Linked DNA regions of Alligator mississippiensis. The protein of the gene in region 2 purifies or fractionates together with the protein of the main gene of each other region. This does not show direct contact. Links are inferred from orthologs where the notes say so. Each region holds a gene or a part of one and is shown on either strand. Other genes may lie near its edges. The genes, in order: AAK1, AP2S1, RALBP1 and NECAP2.

What was found.
Region 1: the proteins of AP2S1 (region 2) and AAK1 purify together in Homo sapiens (affinity purification with mass spectrometry; 4 studies listed by BioGRID and IntAct, counting the BioPlex papers as one, with this or other methods). This does not show direct contact. The link is inferred for Alligator mississippiensis from reciprocal best matches to the Homo sapiens genes AP2S1 and AAK1.
Region 3: the proteins of AP2S1 (region 2) and RALBP1 purify together in Homo sapiens (co-immunoprecipitation; 3 studies listed by BioGRID and IntAct, counting the BioPlex papers as one, with this or other methods). This does not show direct contact. The link is inferred for Alligator mississippiensis from reciprocal best matches to the Homo sapiens genes AP2S1 and RALBP1.
Region 4: the proteins of AP2S1 (region 2) and NECAP2 purify together in Homo sapiens (affinity purification with mass spectrometry; 3 studies listed by BioGRID and IntAct, counting the BioPlex papers as one, with this or other methods). This does not show direct contact. The link is inferred for Alligator mississippiensis from reciprocal best matches to the Homo sapiens genes AP2S1 and NECAP2.

Annotation. Positions count from the first base shown.
Region 1 is NC_081830.1:12,976,197-12,983,202, reverse strand, and holds the start of AAK1 (AP2-associated protein kinase 1), read left to right. Parts: upstream 1-3,992; 5' UTR 3,993-4,152; exon of another isoform or gene 4,153-4,276; intron 4,277-4,477; 5' UTR 4,478-4,697; coding exon 4,698-4,860; intron 4,861-7,006.
Region 2 is NC_081838.1:647,949-655,697, reverse strand, and holds the start of AP2S1 (AP-2 complex subunit sigma), read left to right. Parts: upstream 1-4,737; 5' UTR 4,738-4,839; coding exon 4,840-4,842; intron 4,843-6,558; coding exon 6,559-6,708; intron 6,709-7,126; coding exon 7,127-7,240; intron 7,241-7,749. UniProt on the Homo sapiens protein: Component of the adaptor protein complex 2 (AP-2). Adaptor protein complexes function in protein transport via transport vesicles in different membrane traffic pathways.
Region 3 is NC_081826.1:95,143,282-95,150,249, forward strand, and holds the start of RALBP1 (ralA-binding protein 1), read left to right. Parts: upstream 1-3,962; 5' UTR 3,963-4,051; intron 4,052-6,968. UniProt on the Homo sapiens protein: Multifunctional protein that functions as a downstream effector of RALA and RALB. As a GTPase-activating protein/GAP can inactivate CDC42 and RAC1 by stimulating their GTPase activity.
Region 4 is NC_081836.1:3,410,177-3,417,906, reverse strand, and holds the start of NECAP2 (adaptin ear-binding coat-associated protein 2), read right to left. Parts: upstream 3,015-7,730; 5' UTR 2,920-3,014; coding exon 2,828-2,919; intron 2,547-2,827; coding exon 2,446-2,546; intron 1,211-2,445; coding exon 1,106-1,210; intron 1-1,105. UniProt on the Homo sapiens protein: Involved in endocytosis.

The DNA.
Region 1 (7,006 bases), on a different chromosome or scaffold from region 2:
CTCCCTTGTTTACCACAGTGATGGCTGATGTCAGTGGAAAATGTGAAATTCCTCACTTTCCCCAGAAATCCCTGGCTCTCGGAATCTCTTGGCCCGAGGTGTATTCTCGAAGTCTACTACCTGCCTAGGGAATTTTCCAAGCAATTAGAAAAGCAACTCTATGGAGACTGGCTTTCCCCAGTTACCACATCAATGCCAAGTTCAGATGAATCTATAATATTCACCCAGCGTGGCTGATCATGCCTTCTCAAGGTTAAAGTAGAACAAGGTTTGAACTTGGATGAAATCCATGTTTTTAAAAAATAGTTCTGTTTACACTTCTCTTAATGGAATAGTTTAAATGACTGGTGTAGCAATCACATGGGGCCCCATTTTTATGTAGCTAATACTACTGTGAAACAGGAGCAGCTCCAATGAAGTTATAACACTGCAAATACGCAAATGAGAGGAGAATGAGGCCCTTGATATCCACAGGTCAAACTGTCACCCTGAGCAGAGGTATTCTTCTGATTACTTTGATGACTGGGTTGTGTTATCAGATGCAATGCAGTACAAAGGTGGCAGAATTTGGCTTTTGCCTCCATGTGTTTAACTATACTGGAGAGGTGGAGAGGCTCAGTATATAAACCAGAGTGGAACCTAGGGAACTGCTTCTAGTCCTGCTACTTTGATATCCCCTTCCTCTACCTGCGTCTTGATTTCCCCATCTGTGTCATGATACTGACCTTGGGGAAGCCCTTGGAGATCTATGCATGAAATGTGCTAAATATTATTGTTCTTTGTTTCTCTGATTAATCACAAATCCACTTTAGCAATTATAAATCAATAGCTTTCAAGTTTAGGAACAGCAGCCAAGCACGCGTACAAAATGCCGCTAATACTTTTTTTTAGGCAGCATTTGAAAACTGTGCCCAAAAGCCAGTCCATTCAAATAAGGCAGCGATGCAAGAGAAAGCAAAATGACTGTGCCAAAGGCATAAATGGCTTCATCATTCTTGCCCACATGCTGCTTGCAAACATATCTGATATAGTGTTTTGTTTATACACCTGTATTTTCAGTAAATCCCTCTTGTTTAAAACAAAAGCTGGAGCCAAAAATATATATCATTTGGAAATGCTCCCAATTACATGAGAAATTTTCCATCAAATCAGCCAGATAAAAGTGTGGTAAAGGCAAGCGGTCGCCTGTACTCTGGATTATTTTTCTTGATTATCTGTATTGCAACAGCTTCCAAGGGCTCACATCAGGGTCACAGTCTAATTGTGCTGGGTGTTATACCTACGTATCCTTCACTCTGTCTGCTGTGTGGTTGTTACAGTTATCAGCTAAACTTCTGTGCCTGCAGAGACTTACGCGTGTGCTTAACTATACAAAGCCACCACAGTGGGGCTATCGGTATAATTCACAATGGATCCAATTCAGCTTCTGTCTAAAAAAAGAGACTCCCACTGATTTCAGTGGGATCTGGTTCAGATCCAACATGTATTGTGAAGATGTGCTTTTGCCTTTTTCAGTGGAAACCTGTTCCATCAACAATTCTCCAGATAAACTCGGTGCCCAAAACCTAAGGCACCCAAAATCACTGGTGCTTTTGGCCTTAGAGATCTATTTTAAAGAAAGGTGGAGAAAGCAAAAATTCAGCCCGTGGTGATGAAAGGGATTTAGTCACATAGCACTGAAGTCAGTGTCAGCTGCTCAGACTACTCAGGACTGCAGAGCAAGATTGGGCCTTGGGAACGAAGGGGCTATGGATTATCTATATTGTACTAGCATCTGGAGAAGCCCACCCAGATGAGACCCCCGTTGTGCAAGCTGCTATATAATCACTTAATAAGGGACAGGCCCTGCCACAAGGAGCTTCCAATTTTCTGCAAAAGAAGGCTGAGAGGTGATCTTGTGGCTGTCTGCAAACTCATCAGGGAGGGACAGCAGGAAACAGGGGATACAATGTTTAACAGGGTGCCCATCAGGGTAACTAGAAACAATGGCCACAAAGTGAAGGAGAGCAAATTTAGATTGGACATCAGGAAAAAGTTATTTACTGTGAGGGTTGCTAACATATGGAATACGCTTCCAAGGGAGGTGGTGCTGTTCCCTTCCTTGGAGGTATTTAAGAGGAGATTGGACAAACACCTGGCTGGGGTCATCTGAACCCAGCACTCTTTCCTGCCCAGGGCAGGGGGTTGGATTCGATGCTCTAATAGATCTCATTCAACCCTAAAATCTATGAATCTATATAGCTGAAATGAAGAAAGGCTATGGAGACAGAAGGAAATGGAGTGACTCTAAATCGCGCAGGATGTGGGAAAACACAAGTGGGTTAGCAGCAGGCACGCTTTCCCTTTCTACTGTGGGCTCCTCAGGAACACCCATGTTCCCTCTGACCCTTCTTCTGCAACGCAAAGCTACACCTCTGGGCCCTATAGGAATAAGGCATGGAAGAGTCTTGTTTGCAGGAGCAAAGTGTGAATTCTGTTGCTGTGTTATTTTTTAATTAACTCTGGCTGTGTGTGTGTGCCATCTGATGGTGGCACCATGCACTAGACCTGTACAAACTCACAGCAAAACAATACAGTCTGGATCCCAAATTGTTTTCAGGTATAAAGGGCTGGATCCAAAACCTCTTGAAGTCAGTCTTTCCACTGATTTCAATCCGCTTTGGCTCTCAAACACTGCAATAAGCTCTGCCAGGGCCTGCTTTGGTATTGGCAGCTTGCAGGACTGTATCCATTTCTCTAAATGCCCAGCTGCAGGAATAATATGATCGCAGGAGAATCTCAGGCTGTGGAAGCTCTTTACCCCAAATTAATAAGGAGGAGACACACAGACGGCTCCAAGAAAGCTAACTGCCCACCATAAGCTCTGTCACAGCATCTGGTGGCAAAGGGCTACTACCCCTGGATAAAATAGCCGAGGGATGCAGACATATGACAGTTTCTCTGCAGTAAGTCACCTCTGCGGGAAGTTGCTATAGTGGTTTTTGCAGCCTCATTTACCCCAGAAGGGAGAGATCTTGTGCCTGTCTGAATCTGACGGTGTATACGCCACTTGTGGTATTTTTTTAATCTTTTGTCTGCTCCTGTGGAAGCTGGTAGCTTTTATTATTATTTCTGAGTGACAGCTTGGGGAACAAGCTCGGGATCCCGCAGCACTGAGCGTTTTGTGATGGGTCCCGGAAAAGGTGTCGGAGAGCTGTTGTAAAATAGTCCCATTCCTCCAGGTTCATTCCTGTTTGCCTTGAGGCTGCTTGCTTTAACCGGGGAAGGATGTGGACTCTATCAGCACCTGCAAAGCCGAGACTCGGGATGGGAACCAGGAGCTTTTCCCAGACAGGCTGTGTGCTTGCTGCTTCCCTGGTCCCAGCCATCCTTCAGCTGGCAGCAGGAAAACTACAGCTCCCAGGTGCCTTTGCTGCCAGCTGGAGAGGGGAGGGAGGGGCACACCTTCAAAAGCTTTTATTGCTGAAATCCTTCTGCCCACAGCGCAGCTCCAGCCAGCTCAGGCACTCACTCCACTGGGCACTGAATAATGTCAGCAGCAAAGCACCCCCCCACCTAGTGATGGACCCCAGGGTCTTCTCCTGGTGCTTTGTGGGAAGCAGAGTCCAGCTGCCTACAGGGCTGGGCTCCCTTCTCTGGAGGACTACCATTCCCATAATGCCCCACAGCTGAGCCTGGGTGTTGCAATTTAAGAACACTCTTTCTTTGCAGTGCCTTGAACTCCTGCTGCTGCTTCCCCCCTTGCATCTGAGCCCCCTTCCCTCTTCTTCCCCCCCACTCCTTCCAACCCAAGCTTTTGCTTTTCTGATTTCTTCCTCCCCTCCCCACTCTGCCAGATCAGGATGAGAGAAGAGGAGAGTGCTGCAGAGGAAGGGGTTAACCCTAAAACCTTTGCGGAAGGGAGGGGAAGTCACTCAGTCCCCAACTCCACCCACCCTCCTTGAAGTAGGGACTTCCTGTGACAGTTCATTTCCTGGTTGGATGGAGCTGGGAAGAGGAGGGAGGGCTGGGGGGGGGGCACCTGGAGTAGGATCAGTCTGTAATGGTCTCTGGCTATCAACTGCTGGCCGCCTTCCTTCTGCGCTTCCCTGAGCTGCAATGGTCTCTTACAGCCATGGCCCATCCAGTTCCAGCAGAGAGGATGCAGCAATGGTAACACTGTGGCCAAGTTGCTAGCTGGGTGGCTCCAGCCTATTTGGTAGCAAAGGACTGGGGCAGTCCTGCGGCTCCCTGTGCTGGGGGGTTTACATGGAAAGATTCGCTGCTCAGGGCAGAGGTACATCATCCTTCTCGCAGCAACAGCTTTTCGGGGATCTGGGCAAGGGGTTTGAAGGGGCTTGTGCATGCAGGAAGGCTGCCTCTGGGCGCCAAGGGGGCTATTTTGTTTTGACAGCATGGCTGATTATTTTGGGAGTGTTTGTAATGTTTTATTCCCCCGCCCTTTTTTTTTTTTTTTTTTTATATATAATGATTACAGGTGTAAACCTTAGCAGCTCTGCCTTCCAGAAGGAAAAAGCATCTCTCCTGCTTTAGAAAAAAACAGAACGTTCAACAAAACAGGGGGGAGGGGAAGAAACCCCAACCCCACTGGAAGTAATTTATTCTTTCTTATTGGCTGGGATCAAGAAGGGGGGAGAGGAGAATTGGACCTCCCCAAACAGCGTCACTGTCATCATCACACTGGTATCTCTTGAGAGATGAAGAAGTTCTTTGATTCACGTCGGGAGCAGGGAGGCTCTGGCCCAGGTTCGGGAACCAGTGGAGGAAGTGGAAGCAGCACCGGCCCAGGGAGTGGGTACGTTGGCCGGGTGTTCAATATTGGGAGGCACCAGGTGACGGTGGACGAAGTGCTGGCGGAAGGTAAGATCACACTGGCTTGTGCAGAGCCCTTATTTTTCCTCTGCAGAGGTATCTTGTATAATGTAAACAGAGGCTTTGGCCCTCTCTTCAGGCGTGTTGTTTTCCCCCCCCCTTCCTCTCCTCCTCCGTTTTCCCCAAGATTTCATTGTCATTGAGGGGTTTGCAGTCCGATGACAGCTACAGCTGATACCCCTGCTGTTTGTCAGAGATGCAAGTCAATCCTATTATTGCAGATTTTATTTGTTTTTGAAATGCAAGCAGGAGAAATAAAACCAACAGAAGTTGGGATTTTTTCCTCCCAGCTGGAAACTTGGAATGCTTTAAAAGCAAACAAACCAGCAAAATAATCCTGGCATAGTCTAGTGGGAGACGGTGTGTCTTGAGAGAGAAGCCCATTGCTTTCATTGTGGAAGTTTCTTCCATCAGCTTGCATCTTTCCTACCTTTGCTAGAGCTGGGGAACCACTGATAAATTCTCTGTATGTTTTTAGTGTAGGGTCTATACACAGGACTTAACAGAGCAAACAGCTGTTTGTGGTAGTGGGTTGTGGCTGGATGAAAAGATGCCAAGCAAAACTGTAATCCAGGTTATATTTACTGTTTGTGAAGTGCTTTTAAAAAAACTTAAAAGAAATAAAGAATAACAAAGGTTATACAACCCTAAGAGCTCTCTAACCTGCAAGTGAAGTGCTTGCAATGCAACTAACTGCTTGTAATTATTATTTAAAAGACTTGTATCTGGAGCATTGCTGCTTTAAATATAATTTTACTTTTCATATGCATGGACTATAATGGGATCTTCTGCAAAGTCTCTCATTAGTAACCTTGCTCTCGACCTTCAGAATAATGTTGGCCTCCTTAAACTGGCCCATAGTCCATTTTGTGCACAGCATCCTTGGTGTTTTCAGTCCAGGCAGTGTGTTGTTTAGGTTTTAATTGAATGGGCTTCTGCAAACAGACTGCCTGGAAGAGGGCTAAAGAGAAGAAAGCTGGGGTCTCGGAGCCTGGGGGTAGGTGGCTACCTTAGCCTTGACATAAATTTGAGCCCTGATAGGGACAATACGAATGGTTCAGACCTTTTTTGATTGAGCTATCTTAAGACAGATTTGTCAATGTCTTTTTATAGTCATGGTTAATCAGGAAGTGCCGGGCTGGGCTGGGGCTGCCTGAAATGCTGGTCATGGTGAGTGGTGCATGCTAACTGTAGGATGGAGAGGAAGCCAGAATTGATCACCCTAAACAACCCTGGCCTAGGAAGTCTAGTGATCTCTCCAGCTTTGTGGGGCACTGATTGCAAGAATATGGCACAAATCTGCCTTGATTTATTTTTCCAAGGCCCTACTTGCCCCTGGAGTCCAGCAATGAGGTTTGCTTCAACTCTGTAGCTGCTACTGTTCTGCTCCCTGCTCTCTGGCCTCATTCTTGTAACACCAGGATGAACAGACTTCTTTGCTGATGGGTAATCTCTTGCTGGCAGATCCTGCCTAGGATGCTGACAGCAGCGGGAAGTGAGCTGCCATGCTATTGGGTGCTGTCCTGCTCAGCTCTCCTCTGTCGTGTTTGACTGCATTTCTGCTCAGGCCTGGGCCATAGCACATGTTGGGGTGAGAGATGAGTTGGGATGGGAGGAGGAGGGATTACTCTCCTGTTGTGTTGTCCTGGTGTTCTCCCTGTGCCTCAGCAAGAATAGCATCTTCCGGGAACTCCTCTGTGCATGAGTGCTGTCCAGTAGTGAGAGCAATCATGGGGATTAAAGACTACTGGGGAGGGGTACAATGTGGCTTGGTGCTAGGGATAGGGCTGCCACTCAGGATTTGATTCCTGCAGGCCTGTTAAATGGATCAAATCCAACCTGGAGTAGACTGTCAGGGCATGAGAAGCTCTAAGAACCCTGTCTTGGTGGGAGCTGCCGCACAGAGGTCACTGCTACGACGGGTCAGGCTGAGGGCATTGCCCTCTAATTGGAGGTCCTTACTGACCCCCTAATAGGGCACAAGATGGGTGGCTTTTAGCATAGGTCTGTGGGTTCAGTCCTGTTGATACTAGAGAATGGAGAAGCTCTTTCCTTCATGAACATCTTGGGGGCGCTTGTAAGGCAACCTTGCCGCCTTCCCATCTGTTGGGATTGTATTCAGCATGCCACTGCC
Region 2 (7,749 bases):
GGGAGGAGGGAGGTTGTGTGTGCGCATGCGCGAGGGGGAAGGCGCGTGGAAAAGCGGTGAGCCGCGCGTGCGCAGAGATGTCTTCTTTCCCACGTGCGAGCCCCTGTCACCTGGGCCGCCTCTCCGCGCATGCGCCCTCCCCCCCTTAGTGAAGTGGGTGGGTGGGATTTCCAGAGGTCATGACCCTGCCCCCTCTTGTGACTGGTGTCCCCAGGGTGGCACTAGGCCGGGGGTGGGGCGAGACACCCTGGTCCCGGCCCACTGGGCCAGGGCTGGCCCCTTGAGCAGGCGCCTTTTGCATCCTCTCTTCTGTCCTGCCACAAAGCCCCTGCCGCGCTGCTCGGCGTGGTGTGTGGCTGGCGGGCGCTGGGGCAGCTGCCCCTTCCCACCCCATGATTCCTGCCCTGCCCGAGCTTTATAACCGCCTGCCTGGGAGCAGCAGGGGCGTTTCTATCCCGGCAGCGGCTCAGGGAATCGGCCGACTTCACCGCTCCTGATCATCCCCCTGATTCCTGCTGATCTCTTCGCTCCCTGGGTGTGAAGGACCCTCTCAGCTCCATAACCGTCTGGATCTTTCACCGGTCCAGCACTGCACGACCCTTTTGGCTGGGGGGTGCCTGCTCCGCCTGCGAGCCAGACGCGGCCAGCGGTCCCAGTCCGACGTGGCAGGCTGCGTCCAGCCACGTGGAGTGGGGCGGGGGCAGGCTGGCCCAAATCTGGCTGTGCAGAAAAAGCGGGGTGGGCCCAGCCCCGATCCAGCTGTGAGGAGGCGTGGCCCAGCCCTGATCCAGCTGCGGAGTGGGAGGTGGCATCCCGATCCAGCTGTGGGGAGGCATGGACCATCCCAATCCAGCCATGGCTCGGTCCCATGGGGGGAAGGGAGCACAGATGTGCAGGGTTTGGGAGTTTGGCAGCGGGGAGGGCGGCCGTATTAATTGCCATCACTCCCCCACCACCAAATTTCCTGACCGGTGGAGAGCCCGGCGGGCTGGACGTGACGGCTCCACAAGCCGCCTTTGGCCCACGAGCCAACGGCTGAGCGCTGCTGCCCTGGATCATCCCCTGAACTCAGGTGTGGTCACACGCCCTCAGGGGAACATTAGCTCAGGTATGGAAAGGACTGACAGCGAAGCACCAGAGGCACGCACAAGATGCTCCAGGCGGCAAGATTTTGCTTTACAAATCTGGCTGAGAGACGTGCATTTCATTATTATTTATGACTGCAGGACGAATGAGACAATAGCTCTGGCCCCCTTTTTTTTTTTTTTTTATTAGTTTGTTGTGTTTTTTAAGCTTAATATAGAAGCTAGCAAATGAGTCTGCACTTCAGTAAAGTGCTGTTTGTGTTTTGCTTTGCTCACACACTGAATAATACAGCGCTGGGCCCCCAGTGCATTAGTAAAGCTTCTAGTTTCTCTCTAAGTGGAGAAAGGCGTGTGTTGTGTTAGCTGTGATCACAGACAGCGAGGGCAGGAAGGGATCTCCGGAGGTCAGCTCTAGTCCAGCCCCTGCTCCGAGCAGGACCAGCCCCAACTACATCATCCCAGCCAAGGCTTTGTCCAGCCGGGTCTTAAACACCTCCAAGGATGGAGACTCCTCCACCTCCCTGGGGACCCTGTTCTTGTGCTTCACCACCCTCACAGTGAGAGAGTTTTTCCTAATATCCAACCTCAAATTGCCTTGCTGTAGCCTGAGCCCATTGCTCCTTGTCCTGTCATCTGGGCTGACACTATCTGCACCCCCCTTTTCAAAACCCTAGATCCACCCGTGTGCGCTGAGGACATGGGGTCCGGCGCCAGGCCCAGCAAAGCAGGTTACAATGGTATGTGTGTCGTGTCACACAGGATCGTAGGAAAGTCGGCCTCACAGAGAATCCGGCTGGGCAAGCCCGGCACTCCTAATGCAGGGCAGAAGGGGGAACCGACCAAAAACGTCTTTTCCCTTTAAACCCTCCATAGAAATCCTGGCGTGGTGGGGTAGGCAGAGGTCACGTCTAGTCTAAGGCCCTGCCCGAGGCAGGATCAGCCCCGTCTGAACCAGCCCAGACAAATCCACCACCAAACCTCTTTGGAAAACTACCGTCAACCTTGACACAGCATCAGACATCGCATCCGAACCTGCTCCAGGTGAGGCAGGGGGACCACGACACCCGATGTCCTGCTGCTGGAGGAGGCTGTTCAAATACACCAGAGAGATCCCAGGCTGAGGCCACGTCCCCACTGCGGAAGAAAGCAAAGCCCCCCCAGTCCGTACCAGTCTGACTATGGGAGAAAATTCCCAAATGCAGCATCAGTCTGACCCTGAGCAGCAAGGTGAGACCCTCTAGCCAGGACCCTCAGGCGTAGGTCCCTGCAGATACATTGGCACAGGCTAGTTGCCATCCCCAGCCTGGGCTGCAGCCAACACCCAGCGGCTCTGAGGAAGGCCTAAACCCCCCCGGCACATCGTGGAGGGGGGCAACCAGCGAAGCCCAGAAGCCCGGGACATCCCCATAGTGGAGCATGGGCATCGCTACGCCTAGATCACCCCAGCCAGTGGCTGCCCAGCCTCCCCTGGAGCCCCTCCAGGGGTGGAGAGTCCACAGCTTCCCTGGGCCTCACTGTAAGGGGGGCGTGACGGAGGGGTTGGTTTCCCTTCCAGCCCCATGCGGCAACCAGCAAAGCCCAGACGCCTGGGAGCTGCTTTTCACCCTTGGGAGGCAGGAAGGAAAAGGCACGGACCCGTGGTAGTGCTCTCCTGGCAGCTCGCCTCTCCAGCCAGGCACTGAAGTGGCCGGGTCCGCGGGTCGCCTAGAGGACAGGAGAGCTGCCGGGATTGCGATGGCCAAGAAACCCCAGCTGGAGTATGAGGCACGATGCCTGATGTGAGATTTAGTCTAACCTGGATGGGTATCTGCCACCGCCCGGTGCTGCCCAGCTGTCCACAGAGGGTCAAATGATGCAATACCTGTGTCGCCTGCACGGGCCAGGCTCAGAGGCACTCAGTTCCTATGGGTTTCATGCGAGTCAGACCCTGAAATACCTTTACAAAGCAGTATCAAAAAGCTTGGGAGAGGGAGATGCCTCTGGGGCGCACGCCAGAGCCCAGCACTTAGAGAAGAGGCAGCGCCCGAAAGCTGTAGATCGCCCATCGGGAGAGCAGGGCGCTTCATCCTCCAGCCCCGTTCCTCCGTGGTCTAGCATCCTGGCGAGGCGGTTTGAGCCTTCTGTAAACTCAGCCCCTGCTCGGTGGGAAATAATCACAGCTTCAGACGGCCGCCGGTGACTCAGGGAGGCTATTTCTGGTTCTCCTCGCAGGTCCCCACTGGAGACAGGCGTGGCTTTATCCCCATCTCACAGTGGGGAAGCTTGGCTCCGGGAGAGGAAATGACTTCCCCGATGACAAGCAGAGCTGGGAACTGGAGCTGTGGCCTGACCAAAGCATCCTTGAGAGGATAGTAACTTGCTGAAGACTCTTCCAGCCAGCAAAAGTCCCAGAGAAATCTGGAACCAAAGGAGACAGCATCCCCACGCCGGCTCGTCCAAGTCTTTGCTCCTCTGTGCGCGCAGGAGACGGCCCTGCTGGGCACCCGCCTGATGCAGGGGCGTGGGAAACAACAGAACAAGGGGGGGAAGCTGCTGAGCTGCAAGCGGGACCGACCGGACCGGCAGGCCGAGGACGATGCTTCGGGCAGGGCGTGGAAGGAGCAAGGTGCTGAAATCTGCTGCGCGAGACTCTGCTGCGTCAGAGATACCCCGACGGCTGGGACCCCGGGTCCACCTCTCCCGCTGTCCTGTGCCGCTCCCCGCGTGGCAGGGCGGGCTACCGCTCCACCCCACTGCCAGCATCGCCCCAGCCACTTGGCACTAGGCACTGCCTGGTCTTTGCTGAGACCAGAGAGCGGCCGAGCCCTCTGGGAAGCCCACGGGCACGAGAGGCCGGAGGGAGGCGTACGGAGGATGCCGTCGGCAGCCCAGCCTGGCTGCGGGCGGCTGGAAAGCCTCTGGGAACTGCGGTTTCACAAGCCCCAGCACGGGGCCCAGTCCTTCGCTCCTGCCGGCAATTCGTGCAGCACAAACAGCTCCACAGACAGTCGAGAGAGGACGTGTTGTCTGCACCGCGGCGCCGCTCAGCCGCGTGTCCTAGGACCCCTCCTGCCCTGGGCCCTGGGGGACTCCCCGCCGGCGCGGCGCGGCGCGGCGCAGGGGCTGGGCTGCTGGAGCGGAGCAGGAAGCCGGACGACGCGCAGCGCCCGGCCAGCCCCGGACACCGACGTTTCTGCCGCGGTGCTGGCCCTGCCGGGCTGCGCGAGGCCGCTCCGAGCCTGGCGTGGTGTCAGGTCCAGCCCGGCGTGGCGAAGCGGCTGCACGATGCATTTGTCGGGGTGGTTCGGATAGAGCCGGTCCTTCTCCCTCCGGCGGGGTTGGACTCGATGTAGGGTGGCCAGGCGTCGCGGGCGGTCCCGGATTTCGAAGTCGGTCTTGGTCTCTGGGGTGGGGGGCACCGGCCCCTGCGAGCCCCCAGGCAGGGCCGGGGGCCCAGGGCGGGTGCGGCCTGCGAGGCCTCCCAGAGCCGCGGCCTCGAGTAGGGCGCTCGCCCGGCGGCAGCCGCCCCAGTCCGGAGCGCGGCGCCTGGAGCTCGAGCGCCCCCTGGCGGCGGCGAGGCGGGGCTGGGTGGGGACTACAACTCCCGGCAAGCCCCGCGGCTTCGCATGGGAGGAGGGACCCCCGGAAGTGCGCGCCTCCTTTGGAACTACAACTCCCGGCGGGCCCCGCGGCGAGGGGGCACCCGCCGGATATCCGGTGGGGTGGGGAGTGGGGCAGGCAGTGGCCCAGAGCAGCTGTGCGGGGTCGGGCCGTCATGGTGAGTGGGGGCTCCGTGGGAGCTGGGGTCCCCTATAGGGATAGGGCGGGAAATGCCCCCTATAGAGACGGGTCCTTCTAGGGAAGGGGTGTCCCCTATAGGGAAGGTGGGGGTTCCCTATAGGGAAGGGGTGGGGGCAAGTGCCCCCTATAGGGGAGGGGTGTGGGGGGGGCCCAGCCAGCAGCCCCCAGTGGCAGCCCCTGGCCCGTGCGTGTCCGCGTGGGAGCCGGCCGTGTGGGGGGACGTCAAGGGGGGGTGTGCGGGTGTGCGGCTGGCTCTGGGGTGGGCCGTGGAAGGGCGGCCCCCGCGGGGCTGCGGCGCCGGTTGTGGGCCCTTGGCCTCGGCGGAGTCCCCCAGGGGTGCAGGCCCCCTGCCCCGCGTGGGCGCGGGGACGCTGCAGCGCGTGGCCTGGACGTGCCGCGGGTGCCGGGGACGGGGTCTCTTCCCTCTCCTGGGCTGCGCCCGTGCTCCGTGGGCGCTCGACCCCGCGGGGTCCATCCTGGAGGGCCTCGCCGCTGTGCTCGGGCTCCGACGGATGCCGCGTTTGGGGCGAGGCAGGGATTTCGCCCCGCGCAGAGCGGCGCGGACAGGGCGGCGCTGCCCGCCCCTGCAGCAGGGGCACGGCCTCCGCTGCCATCTCTTGATAACAGCCTTTGACGGCGCTGCCAGCCGCGGCCCCCCCGCTTTCCCGGGGGAGGTTCGGGGGCGATGCGAGGGCTGACGGTCGTGTTGCTCGGAGGTTCGACGCTGGGTTTGCCTGGGCTGGTTGGGACGGGGCTGACCCTGCCTTGGGCAGGACGTGACCCCTGGAGCTCCCTTCCAGCCCTTCTGCAGGGTTACCGGGCTGCCCCGAGGAGCGGGAGAGCACGTGGCATAGAGCCGGCGACGGTCCATCTCCCGACACGGGTTCACCGGACCCCCGGTGCCCGGGCTCCTGCAGCTGGGAGGTGCCCGGTGTGATGCCCGCCAGCGCTCGCACCGTGGAGGCTTTTTCCTAATGGGACCTTCGGGTGCACGGGGCAAAGTATCTGGAGGTTGAGGTGTTGGGGGTCCCACCGCTGGTTCCTAGTGGGGGTGGCAAACACAGCTCTGGGCTGGGTTGTGGTCAGGATTTCCTCTGAGGAAGCCCTTTCCCCCCGCTCAGCAGAACGGAGCTCGTGGCCTTTCCTGCTGAGCGCGCACTGGCGGGGAGGCAGCTCCTTCCAGGAAGCCTCCTCTCTGCCCCCGCCGACCCCGCCAGGAGTGCGGCGGTGCGGGGCCCGACAGCTCCAGGGGACGGCGAGCCCCGTGGCTGGGGGACGGGACCTCCACGAGATCTGGGCTCCTGGTGGGAGAGGAGAGATCGCGGGTGTCGGGCTTGTGGCAGGGCAGAGCCCCGGCGTTCCTGCCTGCAAAGGGCTCTGTCCCAAGCCATCCTGAGCTGCCCTGGTGCCTCTGCTGTGGGGCGTTCCCCTGCAGCGCGGCTCTTCCTTCCCCTATCGCTCTGCGAGCAGCTGGGTGGAAGGAGAGGCCTGGTTGGCTTTGCTCTGCCGGCGGGGAGGTGGGGTCGGTGGGTGAGGGGAAGGAGCCAGACCCCCTGCAGCAAAGGGGGCAGCTGAGAGGGGGCAACCCGCCCTGCCCACTGCATTGGGCTCCCCTGAGGGTCTGCACCCCTCGAGCCGTGCTGTTGTCCGTGACCCAGGCGATGGAGCCTGACCTCATCCGCTCTCCACGCAGATTCGCTTCATCTTGATCCAGAACCGGGCCGGCAAGACGCGCCTGGCCAAGTGGTACATGCAGTTCGACGACGACGAGAAGCAGAAGCTCATCGAGGAGGTTCACGCCGTGGTGACCGTGCGGGATGCCAAGCACACCAACTTCGTGGAGGTACCGCTCTGCCGGCGTGTCACGGCCCCCGACACTTGGGGAGGGGGTGGGCGGGACGTGAAGGTGTCGGCTCCTTGCCAGATCCACCTTGATGTGGGTGGATCAACCCGTCCAAGGAATCCTGGCCCAGCCCCGCCGTGCGGCTGACAGCAGCTTGCTCTTGCACCGCGGGCATGAGCTTCCAAAGTCTCCCATCGTAGCGGGAGGAGCCAGAGGCAGGGGGAGGGAACGTCGGCTGGCACCGAGAGCGGCTACCTGGGACTGGGAGCTCCTGGGTTCTGCTGCTGTCTTGCTGCGTGCAGCTGGGGTGAGGGTTTTCCCTGACAGGAAGGCAACTGAGAGGACCTGGGGGCGCAGGGGTCTCCTCCAGGCCGTCTGCTCCCCTGGTGGAGCCTCCACCGTCGTCCTCTCCCCTCAGTTCCGGAACTTCAAGATCATCTACCGGCGCTACGCGGGGCTGTACTTCTGCATCTGCGTGGACGTGAACGACAACAACCTGGCGTACCTGGAAGCCATCCACAACTTCGTGGAGGTGAGCGCTGGTAGGAGGTGGCTGGGCCTGGTCTTGGGGGCACGGCTCTCGGACGGTTCCTCAGGGAGATGGAGCCTTCCTCGGTGATTGACCGGCTGTCCACATCTCCCTCTGTGCGTGCCTGGGCCAGCCAGCAGCTCCTGTCCCTCGCCGCGAGGCTCCTCCGGGTCTGTGGGTTACAGGGAGCAGAGCAAAGCCCCACCTAGCACTCGCTGGGCTCTGAGCAACCGCTGATGGCTTTGCTGGCTGCAAAAGACCCGTTTCCTGCCCTGCGTCCCATGCGGTGGGGCTGGGGGGTGAAGCTCCAAGGAGGGCAACGAACCATCATGACCGGTGCCCTGGGTTGCTTCAAATCTCATCGTCTCTGGGCACCTCATGGTAGAAGCTGTGCCCGAGCCCTGCCGTCGGATCTCGGCTGGATGCAGCAGGGGGGCAAGCAGGGTCCCCTGGGCTGAGTTGAACAGGAGGGCACGCCGGTCTCGTGGCACCAGGTGGCACAAATCAGGCCC
Region 3 (6,968 bases), on a different chromosome or scaffold from region 2:
TAGAGAAGGTAATTTGTTTGCTCTGAAATGTTCTTAGCAATGAAAATCTCATAATATGGTACTATTATGCATTTTGTGAAGGCCATCTGAGAGTGGGAAGATCATAATTTATTTGGGGGACATTTACTTTACTAGGCCCTTGATTTAAGCATGAGATTAAGTGCCTTGCTAAAATTCTAAACTTAACTATATGCTTGAACACTTTGCTGAATTAGGGCCTTACCTAGTTGAAGCACCTGGGTAATATATATTATTAAATACTCACTATAATATTGTAAGTAATTTTAAAAACTTAATAAACATGCCTTAGTGTAATAAGCAATTATATAAATTCCAAATTTTTCAATCAGGATTGTGCTTAGCTAGATGTCATTTATGTGACATTTTAAATACAGAAATATATAAAACATTTTTTTTCAATGGGATTATGGTACTAACATCTATAGAAATGATTCAGATACATAAACCCTGGTTTACCACTCGCTGTCAACACTGCCACTTACAAATAGTGCCCCTCAAGTCTCGGGAGGCACCAGCTGTTCATGCCCCTGGGTGTTCCCCACCTTTCTCACTTGGTATACAAGAATTTGCTCCTGGATGACCAAGTAAAAGTGTGACTAAGGGAGATCCTTAGTGCTTATGGAAAATTGCATCCAGAAGGTTTCTAGTATTGATTAGGGTTACCATATTTCCAGTTCCAAAAAAGAGGACACTTGCCATGTGCATGGGGGGCATATATGACTGTTAAGTGCAGTGATATGTCAGTGCCCTCACCCTGCACATTCCATTGCCCCTCACTCCCAAGCCAAAGCCCCTCCAGCTCTACTGCAGCCCATCACTCCTGACCCAGGGACCCCTGGCCCTGCCAGTGCTCCTCACTCCCAACCCACAGTATCCTGTCTCCCTGGGCCATACTAGTGCCCCTCACTCCTGACCCACAACTCCCTGCCCCACATTCGGGACCCACAGTCTCCCCACCTCTCACTTCTAACCACAGCCGTTTGCTCCCTCCATCTCCTGGCTGCCCTGCCCCTGCAACCTTTTTCCCCTACAGTGGACTGCTGCCAACAATCCATCCCCCTTGACAAGTTGCAGTCCCACACCCAAGAGTGACCAGATGCTGCTGTAAGAGGGAGAGAAAAAGGCAGGTGCTAGGACCCTAGGGTTCTTTCTCTGCTGTGGCAAAGAAGCTAAACTGAATTTGGTAGGTGCTAGGATCCTGCAGACATCTCCTCTGCCCCAGTTCTCAGCTGCAGCCCCAGCTTCTCCCAGCCTCTGCATGCACCCACCCCACCTCACACAGCTGAGCTGAGCAATATCCCAGACATTTGAGCAGATTTTTAAAAACTGCCTAGAAAGAGATCGGAGGATAAAAAAAAAGGACATGTCTGGGAAAACTGAGACCTATGGTAACCCTAGTATCCATAGATGGCATAAATTATTATGCCAAATGTACATGTGGTAGAAGCCTGTTACCAGACCTGATCAAACAGAGTTGTGTTGATCATGAAATGAGCTGTTCTGGCAGTTATGAATACTAGGAATCTTTCACTAACCACAAACAAAAGAAAAACCTGTCATGTGTCTTTTCTGCAGGAAGGCTACAATCTGGCAGGAGATGGCATGAAGAGGGATGCTATTAATTAATATATCAGTGCTTTTTTTCCCCTATTTCTTCCTTGCATGCTTTCCAAAACTCCTCCCCATTCTTTATTGCACAGATTGAATTTCAGAGAAGAGGACCTGCCATTTCAAATACTTTAGCATGGCTCTTGTTTAAAATAGCCAGCAAGAATTTGCCAACAGTAAATGTAATGAGGCATGTGGAGTGAAACTATCTGAGGTAATGAGGACCAAGACAAGAGAGAACTTTTCTAAAGGAACAAATCTCCCAGTGAACACACACAAATCAACTGTAAGCTAGAGATGCTCTTTGTGCTTTTCACCCATTTGCCCTCCTCAGCGATTAGGGAAATCATCGTTTTGCATCATGCAGCTTATGAACCTTTATAGGCTCACAGTGACAATAGCCCATAGGAATCCTTACTCCTTGGAGGTGAAGTGGCTCTTGTGAATGTGCCTTAGAGCAGGGATCCACAGAAGCAAAAAACTACAGTGAGTAATAACCTTTCTTTCCTCCTATGGCCTGCTGTGTTAGTCTTTGTATGGTAAAAACATTTGCTTGTGATGTTAAGTAAAATAAAACAATGAGTACTTGACATTAAGATAGCCTCCATGGGATAAAAAGGGATTTATGGGAGTTGCATAGTTACATAATACATTGTAAAGACAACATATCTATGCTCAAAAGCAATCAAGAGTATTTACAACCCTCTCTTTTATATTTCCTACAGAATAGACATACACACAAATTCCTGCAGGGGACCTTTTACATTACCACAGAAGGTTGCACAAAGAGCCCATTTGTAAGGACTGAGGAGCACTGAATGTCAAGTGAATAAATGAAGCAGGTGGCAAGCTGCCATTGTATTCATGTGTCCAAAATGCCAGGATTATGCCTGGAGGCTGGGGAAATGAATCAGTCCACTTTTCACTGGAACAAATTCCCTTGTTTACCAGGAGCTCTGAAAGAGATTCAAGATCTGCAGGTGTCTAACATATTCGGAAACTTGCAGTCGAATGAAGGCAGAATACAAGAAATTATTTAAAGGCCAGAGAAAGAAAGTAGGCATTGAGATGGAAGATGCATTTCCAGGCATAGAACGTGTACTCGCGCAACAGCCGGACCCTTTCTCTGTTCTCTGGCATTCGATGCGAAAGCAAAGAAAAATATGCAAGACCAACTTCTTTGTCAAAGAGGAAGCCAAAATTGATTGCTGCTTTCTAGTCCTATTAAATTGCTTAGGGACACAAAGCTCTATAGTCAGGTTAGACCAGGAGCAAAGGAACAGTTCCAATCCTTGCAGCTGCCGGAGGAGTTGTGCTTTTGTGTCCCTTAAAAGCTGGTTGAATTTTCTCTAGTTGCAACATTTAAGGGCCTTCCAGCATGATAATTTTAACTCCATTCCGACAAGATCAGCAAACTCTGCTCTTCTTTTCAAACATATCTGCTCAAAAGAACAGACTTGTGGCTGTACTGGTGGGTTCAGCACTGCTTTACTGCACCAGGGGACCAACCTGCTTTGACAGACGTACCACAAATTAGCTCCAATCCCCTGCCCACTCTGCCACTTTTCTGTCCCCTCCCTGCCCTGTTTCCAGCTCTGCGTCCTGCCCTGTCTGCTGTTTTGGTTCCCAGTCCCTGCCTGATCTGCTGCTCTAGTTTCTACTTCCTGCCCCTGCTCAATCTGCTGCTCTATTCCCCCACCCTGTCCTGTATTCCTTTATCTGCTGCTCTCATTTCTGCTGCCTGCCTACTTCGCTGCTGTGCTCCCTACCCGATCTGGGGCTCTGCTTCTTGCTTCCTGCCGTGTGCACTGTGCCCTCACGTACTTTTCTTTCTGGTCTGCTGCTCTCTTTTCCACTCCCTACCTGATCTGGTGCTCCCGCATCTGCTTCCTACTGCCTGCCCGATATTGCTGCTCTGTTTTCTGCTCCCCACCTCCCCCCCCTCCATTTCTCCCACAGCAGCACGCATCTCTCCCTGGCCACTGAACTAGCCCCGCCCCTCAGTGGAGCCTGCCGCGCGGCCCGCTGGGACCTGTAGTCAGGCTCGCCCCCCACCCGGGCATCTGCCTCTACAGAACTACAATTCTCGGCATGTACCGGGAGGGCGCTGGCTGGAGGAAGGTGGAACTTCCCCTGCGCATCCTTACCCAGGCGAACGCTCAGGCTCCGCTGCCGGCGCCCTGTCAATGCGCATGCGTATTCGCCCTGTGCTCGCAAAGGCGCACACTAGCCGGAGGCTGCATCTCCTTGTGCGCATGCGTAGTCTCCCCTCCTGGCCTCAGCTGCTTCCCTCACGGGGGGGGGGGGGCGGCGCGCCTGCGTACATGCGTCAGCAGGCTCGCGCTGCTCCCGGCCTGTCTTTGCAGCCGCGGGCGGCGGCACCATGGGGCGCGCGTGAGGCCGAGCGGGGTCGAGCCCCCGGGTCAGTACCGAGCTCGCGCGTGTCGCGGGGGGCGCGTCCCCTCCCAACGGGGGGTGGGCAAGGGCCCGGGACAGCCACTTCCGGGCTGGAATGGGGCGGTTAACGGACGTTTTCCTGCCCCCCCTCCTCGTTTGTGTGTGTGTGTGTGTGTGTGTGTGTCCGCGTCCGCGTGTCCGTCCGTCCGTCCACGTCCACAGGAGGCGCTGTCGCGAGGAGGCTGGTGGCATGGGCTGGTGCAGCATCTCGCCAGGCTGGGACCTACCGTGACCCCCTCGCCGCATGGCGGCCCTGGACCCACCCCACGAGGCAGGGCATCGGGTGGCGGTGGCAGCATAAATGACTCCCAGGGTGGCCCTGTTTCTAGGCTGGTGGGAGCCCTATGGGCCAAGTGACATGGCCCTGCACCACGGCCTGCAGAAACACCCGTCCTGGAATAAGGGGACCTTGTGTACAGCAGTGAGGCCGTGTCCTGCCAGCTGTGTCGGTGCGGCCAAGGCGGTGCAGCGTACCAGTGCCGACAAGCCATGTCAAATGTGTGCACCTTGCATGGTGCACAGGTTTCAGTGGGGGACTCCAGCAGGGTCAGAGGGACATTGTGACTGTGATGGTCTGGCAAATGGATGACAAGTAAGAAGTTTTTGGCAGTGTCTGTTATTGGTAGTCGAAGAGCGATGGAATAGCTATGATGGCCCAGAAATGATGGGAGAGGCAAGGATTTCTTAGGGCGGTCTCTTACTGGACCAAGTCTGTAGCTGGGATAAAGTCAGGCAAACTCCCGAATGTAAGACCTGAGGATGCGAGATCTGAGGAAAAGTGTCTTGCATTTAAAAGCTTGTCTGATTATAGCCCAACTACGTGGTTGGTCCAATAAAAGAGATCACCCTACAAAATCTTTGTCTTTTACTGAGCCTACCATATAGCTGGGAGAGAAGCAAGACCAAAATGGTGCCTTCCTTCCAGGCTCTCCCTTGTGCCCTGTGCTGCCCTGGCCCCACTCCCTCCCTTGCCATAGGGGCCTCAGTCTGTTCCCCTCTACACCCCTTTCCCCCCATAGACTTACCAGCCAGACTCTGCTCTCCGGGCTGCCAGGCTACATTCCTAGCCGCGTGAATGCTGCGGCTGCATGCATGCATGTGGCATTGATCGGTGGCATTATTAGCTACACCTGCCAAAAAAAACCAATTGTTGATAATATCAATTTTCTTTTATAGGTGCCAATTTGATATGGACTGATATATCAGTTCACCTCTAAAGAAAAAAAGAAGTGCATTTTTTAACATTTAAATGTAAAGTATATTTTTCTTTGTAGATACCACTTGAAATTGGCATATTACATAATATAATTAAAATTATATTGAACCTGTACATTTGCTAATTTGGTATAATTAAAGACAAAACTGGTTGAAATGCCTGGCTAAATAACTGGAACTACAAGTTTTTGAAGTAATAAACCAGCTCTTGAGAGTTGTAGCCACCTCTGCAGGTGTAAAAAGAATATGTTCTTAATTTCAGTTTTAGTTCAATAATGTGTTTGCTCAAATTTGAGAAGCCACTAGAGCAATGATTCTCAGCTGTTTTTAGACCCAAGACAGTAGACTTGAGGTACCTTTCAGAAAATGCCAGATTTTATATTTCAATTATTTTTTTAAAATACAAAAAATAATAGCACAATTCTTCTGTTACAGAGTACTCAGAAAAGCCACAACAGGCAGAATGTTTTTGACCGTATTGATTCCTATTTGAAATCTCTGAGTATATCTTGTGAATTGTGTGTCTGTGTTTGCAAACCTAACAGAGCTGATATTGCACGACACACTTAAAAGGATTTTGGGGCACCCTGGCATGCTGCGGCACCCTGGTTGAGAACCGCTGTGCTTGAGCTCTGAAAAAGCTGGGAGACTGGTTTTCCTCCTCTAATCTGTGAATAACAACTGTGAGAGAGAGGTTGAAGTCTACCAGTTCTAAAATACTGAAGTATGCAGTGACTGAAACAGTTGGTTCAGCTCAGTAACTACAGAATCTTTCCTGTGCTTATTAAAATGTTACCTTGAAATGCAGAATATATTCTGATGTGTTACAGGGGTGTAGGTTGTAGCCATGTTGGTCTAAGGACATAGGCAGACAAGGCTTTTTGGGTGAATCTGATATCTTTTATTAGACCAACTTAAATAGTTGGAAAACAATTATTAAGCAAGCTTTCGGGTTCAAAAACCCTTCGTCAGGCTAAGGAAGTTTCTGCAGTTGGTGTGCGCTCTTCCTGGATGGCATGAAAAGTAAAGAAGCCAGAGGCTGGGCTGGCTTCTTTACTTTTCATGCCATCCAGGAAGAGCGCACACCAACTGCAGAAACTTCCTTAGCCTGACGAAGGGTTTTTGAACCCGAAAGCTTGCTTAATAATTATTTTCCAACTATTTAAGTTGGTCTAATAAAAGATATCAGATTCACCCGAAGAACCTTTGTCTGAATATATTCTGATAAACTTTTTCTTGTGTATCCAGAATATTTAATATATTATTTTTAATTATTAAAAATAGATTACAATTAATTAGATTAGATTTAAAATGCTGAATTTTAGCAATTTCAGTTTTTGTCCCAAAGCAATTTGATGTAAACCACAAGTAAAAAATTCATCATCTAGTAAATAAATAATGCAATTCACCGTTTTATAACACAATAAAATATAACAAGTATCTGAGTACATGTATATAGTTGCTTAAATGTGTAAATATCCTGGTTAGCAAAAAGAAGAATCAAATTTAGTATAAAAGCTATTTTTAGTTGTATACCTGCATGTTTTAATGGTTACCAACCAATGAAAATCAACTTAGGAAAACAATTAGAAGTTCAACAGTTATAACAATTAAAAGTGTTAATGCAAAACAAGATTAACATTGATGATGTAAACTGAGTCTTCCTG
Region 4 (7,730 bases), on a different chromosome or scaffold from region 2:
CTGCAACCAAGTAAGCTGTCAGGGAATTATACTTTGACACTAAATGCTATACTGGGGGACTGTGTCTTCTGAATTGGTTAAAGCGGTCCCAACAAGACTGAGAACGGTTACACTAGAGGAAAGTTAATTTTTCCATTTGATCTTTGGACAAATTGCTCACATTAGAGCAAAAGGAAGAGATTCAGACACACACACACTAAGAGGTAAACTCTCCTTCTTGGCCTTTACACTTGAAATCTAGAACTAGCGGTCTTGAATTATTTAGTTGCTGGTTTTCCACCCTGTACAACTGGTGTTCACTCAGGTTATTAGGAGCGTGTGGAACGGGAATTTCCAGCTCTAGAAGCTTGTGTGAAATGAAGCTAGAAACTGTTAAAAAGGATATGATGCTGCTGGAAGGTGCTGAAGTTGTGAGATTTATGCACAAGACTAACCCAGCATCATCCGTTTCCTTGTACTGCTCCTTGATATCTCCACCCCTACCCGCTGCAGCCCTCCCTTCCTCTCTGCTGAGCCTGTCACTTTACAGTGCTCTCTGTAACGGTTTCATTTCCCACTAGGAGTTGAACTCAGGCCTGGTCTGGGCACCAAGTTACACCAGTTCATATAAAACTGACTGAGTCACCCTGGGGCAACTGTATGTGCAGATGCTCTCAGGCTGCATTCAACACTGCTTATCAGTTCAGCTTGGGTCAACAAATACACTGGCACAGAAACATGTTAGATCAGTCGAGTTCAACTTAAGATCAGTTAAATAAGCCTACATGCCAAGTGGTGAAAATCCTGTAACTTTTGATCTTTGGTTTCAATTCAATCCACACAGGTTGCTGAAATACAGGCACCGAGTGCTGATTTTGGATGGATCTAGTCTGGTGTCCCAAGGAACGAAAGGCACCTCACTCCACTCCCCTAGGTTTTTACTCTGCCTCTAAGATGCAACATTTATTTAGCCCTTTGAAATGAGGAATCCTTCATAGCTGGAAGACTAATCCGGACCAGGCCAATGGAAACCTCCAAGACAAACTTCAAAACGTATTCATCAAGAAACGTGCTTGCCTTACTTAGTATGGTGCTAGAAAAGAAGAGAGCTTAAAACCTCCCCTACCATTTCCATCTTCAATCCGAACGACAAAATATCGGCTGGAATCCGTCACGCTCTCCACAGCGATGCCAGGAAACTGGTCCACGGGGGCCTGGGCAAAGAGCTCCCCTACAAGCAGAACTGTGTGTGAAGGGCAAGGAATCTTAATGCCAAAGAAAAGGAGCCAACACAACAGCGCCATGTCCCAGAGCACAGCACGCACAGGGACGGCGGCTTACGCATGCTAGGGAATTAAACACAGTGATACACCCACAAAGTATTAGGTATTTACAAGCTGTGCATACCAACAAAGGAGTTAACCTACTTACCCAGTGTCTTCCAGGAAGCCTACAGCAGAGGATAAAACCCAGACAGAAACCCAGACTGAGAAACCAGTCCAACCACTACTCTACATGTCCTTCGGAGGCTGAAATCCATTAACCCAATTCTCAGTTCTCAACATAAGGCTCTCCTTATACAGCTGGGATTGAGAGCAAGCTCATTTACATGACTTGGAACCAGACCAGCCCCAGGACTATGATCAGGAAGTCCCGGCAGCAGGGGGATAATCGCAGAGGGAGTCGCTACAGGCAGTGTATACTCTGCGTATCTCTTCAAGGACTGATCCCCTTCTGAGCAGGGCCCAGGGCAGGGAAAACGCGTGACAGGGGCCACAGGCAGCTCTCTCCACCCAGACCGAGCGCAGCGGCAGCACAGGGAGAACGGAAGCGCTCGAACCAACCTTCAGAAAAAGGTTCCATCTTTGAACCATCCTGGCTGCATCGAGGAACTGAAACACACAGGAAGTGCTTCCAACAAGAACTATGGGGATAGGGCAGGAGATACTAGTTGTGGGGGCTAACCAGGTTTCCCCCCCTGATTTCATTAAGGACAGACTCCCTAGCACAGAGTTTGTAAGGCTTCTTCCTGCTCAGCCTCTTAAACACCTTGAAGAGCTAACAAAATTGGCATCTAGTTGAGGTTATTCTGCCACAGAAGGGGGAAAAAGGGGGCTTTAAACCCGCTGCTCAAGTCGAGTTCCCTCCCACTCCTTGCACCGCTGGGGCACCCGGCACCACCAAGCACCGAGGAGCGGATCCATCCAGAACCAAGTCATGTGGGAAACCTCAGCAAACCTCCTCGAAGGGGAAGACGCTGCCTTGAGGCATTTTCACATCAATATATTGTGAATATTTGCATACTTATTTTGAAGCGACCCGAATTCATGGGGTAGCTCTGGGAAGCATCCAGGGCTGCTCTCACAAGGACCCGCGAGCCTGCTGCGTACGGCAGCCCCTTTCGAGCGGGGGCGAGGGGGGGGGGGGTCGCACACACGCACACAAATGCTGCTCTTTTCCCTTTACCTGTAGTCTTATCCTCGAGTTTGATGAACGCCATCTTCCCCTTGGACGTGATGCGCAGCCGGCCGCTCCACGCCGGCTGGTCCAGCTGCCATTCTGCAGCCCTGCGGGTAGAAACTGCTATTAGCGTCTGAACAACACCTCGCGAGTCCCCGGCTGAGCCTCTCGGCGATGACTCCTCGTGTCACGGCATTGCTCGGGGTCCCTACGGCTGGGACCCACGATGCGAGTATCAACTCGGCTACTGCGGCCATGGAAGGCGTGAAGCAGAGGCCAGGGCTCCATTGCCAAGTACAGGTATCGTACAGACGTGACAAGAGAAGCGCTTTTAGTTACCCCCCCTCACTGCTCCCCGCATTGTAACCCCGCCCCCCTCGGGGCGCACCGGTGTCCGCGGTTGGAGGCGCGCGGCGGCACGCGGTACACGTGCACCTCGGGCTTCACGCACAGCACCGACTCGTAGTCGCCGTCCGCCATTGCTGTTGCTGTCGCCGTCGCACCCGGAAGTCCGCCCGCCACCCGGCTAGAGCGGCCCCGCGGAGGTTGGGCGGGCGCTTCCGCGTCGTCTCTGTGGCTGGGGCGGCCAGCCAATGGGGAGGAGCGGGGGGCGTGCCTTTGGGCTCTATGGATTCCACCCCTCCCCTCTCTCTTGGAGGACCGCGGCCCGGCCGCCGAGCCCCGGGCGCGAAGGCTGCTGGGAGCGGAATGCAGAGCAGCCGATGGGCGAGGGAAGGACGGAGAGCAGACAGCAGAGCAGTCGATGGGCGAGGGCACAAGGCGCAGTAGCAAAGCAGGGCAGGGAGCAGCAAGCAGAGCAGCAGATAAATGTCTTGTCGTTCCAAACTGGTGGTAGGGCAGATGCTTCAGCATGAGCACAACCAGCAACGAGCTAGGGGGATAACAATTGCAAGCCTCTATTACAAGCCTGAAACTTCCCTAAAACCAGTATTTTTAAATGACTGGTTCTTTCCCTTGAATGCACCCCTAGCACGGACAGTCGTTTCATCGTCTTTAGGGGCTGGACAGGACCTGACCGGCCCCCCTGCACCGGGGCAGGAAAGACCGCTGGGATCAGATGACTCCAGCGAGGGCGTCAAGACGTTTTTGGCAGCGCGCACGTTTCCAACCCAAGCTGCAAACTGAAGTGCAAGTCAACCCCAGAGCAAATACGGGAAACGCGTCCCGAGCAGAAAAGGAAACCTTGCTGTCACGCGTGGTGGACTTGCCGGTCATCAGCAGACCCGATCCTCCTCTGGGCCCGCGTGGGGGTGGAGCGCGCGGCGCGCGGCTGGCCCTGCGCAGCGCCTGAGGGCTGCTCGAGCTCTCGCCCCACGATTTTGAAGTGGAGCAGCTGAGCGGAGAGAGGACGGGAGTTGCCGGGACTGAGTTTGTGTAACCGGAGGTCCGTGGACGATTGCTTGAAACCGTCCGTCAGATGCAGCCCTCTGCGGTCCTGCTCCATCTCCTCCTCGTGCTGGGTGTCGTTTGCCTCGTTTCCACAGGTGCCAATTTGTAGAACGGGCACAACCAGCTGTCCAGTCCGTGGCGTGGTCTTCAGGAGCGGAGAGGAGATCTGCCCACAGGATGGCAAGCAATTTGAGGGCCGTGTGGATCCGAAGCAGGTAGTACCTGGAAGAAGCTGTGTTCTTAAAATGGCAGAGAGAACCTGCTGGGGAGACTTGGACCATGCTCCCAACGGCCAGCATCACACCCCCCAGGCAGCGTTACAGCGTGAAAACAGGACGCTTCACATGGCGGAGTTCAATTCTCCTTTTCAGCTGCTTGTAGGGGGTAGCTGACTTGGGGACTGTCCCCTCCTACAGAGCCGGTTCACCAGCACTGAAGAGATTTGTGTAAACCAAATCTAAATCTCACACAGACACACAAGCACACAGGTATTCCCAGCCATGAGGGTACACACTTGCACCTTCACCTTGAGCTGGGTTTATAAAGGGGAATTAGCGCCAAAGAGAACCAAAAAGGTGCCTTGGACTATTATAAGTCCCATTCATTTTAGCTTTCTTGCATCCATTTCAAAACAAAATGACGCAGCAGCCTCCACCTTCACTGGTGCGACTGGATACCAACACTGATAGGAACTGGATGGCTTCTACCCCCCCCAGCTGGTCAGACTCCAGTAATACAGGGGCAGAGGGAGAAGCTGGGAGACACCTTGAGCTGTCTCATCCTATTTCCCACAACTGCAAGGACATTTAGCATAGCCCCCAGTGCTTTGTTTAGCGCTTCAAAACCTTGCTCACAAACTTGCACTGCCCCAGGTGAGCAACTTGCCCAAGTGCCCAACTTTGGTCAAGGCTTAACTTAAAAAGGGAAACGAGTCTTTTGCAGCATAAAAGCTATTTTCTACCCTCAGCACTTTGTCTGCATCGCAAAGGCTCTGCTTGCCAAAGGGACCAGAAGGCTTCAGGATCCTGTGAGCAACGCGTACAGCTGCTCTCATGAAGACGGTATCAAGATAGAGGGCTGGTGAGCAGGTGGCTAGGAGAACGCATGAAGCACTTTGCCTTCTATTCATGAACACCAATGCAATCTCAGGGCAGCTCCAACCCGTTAGTTCTTCCCACTGTTCCCAGTCCACATAAACCATGTAGATGCAGAATTTAAGGCTTAGGACTTTTCAAAAAAAAAAAAGAGCCTGCAGCATGAGCAGCTTGCTCTCGGTACGCAGTGTGTTAGATCGCTCCTTTCAATTTATCTGTGGTCGTCACACAAATGGGGAAGAATAAAAAAAAAATCAGAAAGGTCCCCCATGTTCATGGACAAGCCCGAGATAAACATGTGAAAGAGAGGATGCAGAAATCAAGTAATTTCACTCGATTCGCTGCAGTAAGAAGCCACTCGGAGTTCCCTCCCCCAGCCCTCCACTTTCACGGTGCAGTCTTTGTAAGCTTTTTATCAAATATAACAAGCTGGGATGTTGCTGTCCAGATCTGCACGCAAAGCCTGGGTGGGATGCGAAGAGCAATGCGCATGAAGGAGTTCAATACAAACTGCACTTTTTTTTTTAAAAGTTTAAACACATTTATTTAAAATACAATTTATAAAATGTTTTTCTGCATACTTAGGAGCACTTCCATGGGGAGACGGGCGGCTCTAGCTAGATCCTGTGTGTCGGATGCACACAGCTTTGCACTTCTCACCACCTGAACGCACACATACGCACACAGGCACACACGAGAGAACCGTAAAGTGCCCCTAAGAACACACACAAAAAACCCCTATAAACGTGTATTAGAACAAAAGCTCTAGCCCCTCTGCAGACAAGGCATTTGACTTATCCCAACACTGATTTCCGGACAGGATCGCTCACCTACTGTCCATCTAGGAGGGGCCCGGTGGCGGGTGTCTACAGGGATGCTGCCCCATCCTGCCTGCAGGCTGGAAGCATCCTGACTGATCGTGCTATAGGGATGGAGAAGCTGGAGACGGGTGCTGCGATGACCTCCCCTCGTGTAACTAATGTGAATTTACGCGAGGCTGATGCTGGAGGTGCCGGCTCTGTCCTATGTGCAACTAGCAAGAAATTTTAGGCTCTGCTGCACAGGACAGCAGGCAGGAGAAGAGGATACCGTTGTCCTAACATTGGCAAGATAGCTGAAGCTACGTCAAGAGGCTTTTGCGGCAGCTGGCCATCTGAAGTAATAGCTATTTTAACTGAGAGTTAAGGAAAGGCGTGGTGACTAGTTATTGCTGTCTTGTCCCCCCCCTCCCCCCCACCCCCGCCCATCCTCCTCTCTCCAGCCATCCCCATGGGTTTCTCCTTGCCACCACTGTGAAGGAAAGATAACGTTTCCTGCGATGCAGCTGCTTCTGGCTTGTACAGGTGCCCCGGGGCACGTGCCAAGCCCTACCTGAGAGGAAGTTCCGTAAACATCAGATTACAGCCTTTGAGAAATGACTCCAGGCCGAAGGGGACATCGGTACACATGGCCACCTCTCAAATTACAGCAGAGTAAAAGAAAAAAAAGAAATCTTTACAACAACCATTGAGGGCTCACCTGATTCAGGGAATCACACAGGGCGATGGGACAGAAGATCAAGTCAGTGAACAGATCTGTATTCTAGCAGATTATGTTTTGCACATAGATAGGATTTTTTTTTTCTGGTAATTTGTTTGCAGTATCTCTGTACGTGTGTCAGTTTACTGGCTGGGAATCTCCCACACACCTCGCTCTAGGTAGAGGTTTTGTACAGCTGCTTCCTTTCAGGTAGAAGAGGCTGGGTTCAAATGTCCACCGTTCAACCTACAGAGCACAGAGAGGGTGGACCATATTTTGCCAGTACAGAATACATCCTCCAAACACCAGAAGCGGAGAAAGGCAATTTGTGGGAACACAGCTTGAAGCAGACAAGCCCATGGGCAATTTTGGCTGAAGGAATGGTTTAAACCTTCTGTGGTGGCAGACAGAGGTCAAAAAGGTGCAGTCAGTTTTTCTGCCTGTAGGAAGAGACCCTAGCAACACGGTGAATCCCCTCTAGGACTGGAGTCTTTCCAACATACAAGATGCCTTCTCTTTGTCCCATCAGAAAGACATCTTAGTGTTCATCTAATCCCTCAAGACAATTACCATGAAGGGTAGGTCAGTTTTCTCATCTACCATAAGAGTTAGGCAATGCAACAAAACAAAACCAGACAGTGTAGGACACAGGAGAGACCGTGGAGCAATTGTATTTGACAATGTACTGCAACAATAAATTTGGTGGTACCTTAAATTTCTCTTCCATGGCTGGAATCCAGGAAGGTTTTCAGACTGCCAGATGAAACCCTACCTCAGACCCCTTTCTCTTTCCAGGGTTTAGAGAAGCAAAAAAAGTGAGCAGTTGCCTGAAGCCTAGCAAAAAGCCACTTGTTACCACCAGCAATGCATGAAAACAGGGAGTTTTTCCAAAGTTTATTGAACAGGGTTTGTTCCCGGTGTCTATGATTCCTAGAAGTAAATGCATCAGGTACAGCACTGAATTGTACCATCACTGAAAGATTAGAGCCATCAGTCCTTCACAAGCCACACTGCTTCAAGGTTTGTACCTGGTGGCTGTCCTGCCTCCTACTGTATGGCAGCCATTCGACAAGCACAGGCTTTACAGAGCATAGCTCGTTGCCACATTTGCCATGGGCCAGTACAGTACTGAACTAGTCTATTCCTAGCTTGTAAACCTGGATGCAACAGAGCCCTATTCCTTCACCCTGCTTTCTCGGAGGCCGCAGGAGGTCTCCGTGGGATCCGTCTACGCTCCCTTCCCCCCAGATACGAAAGGATGTTCCTTCC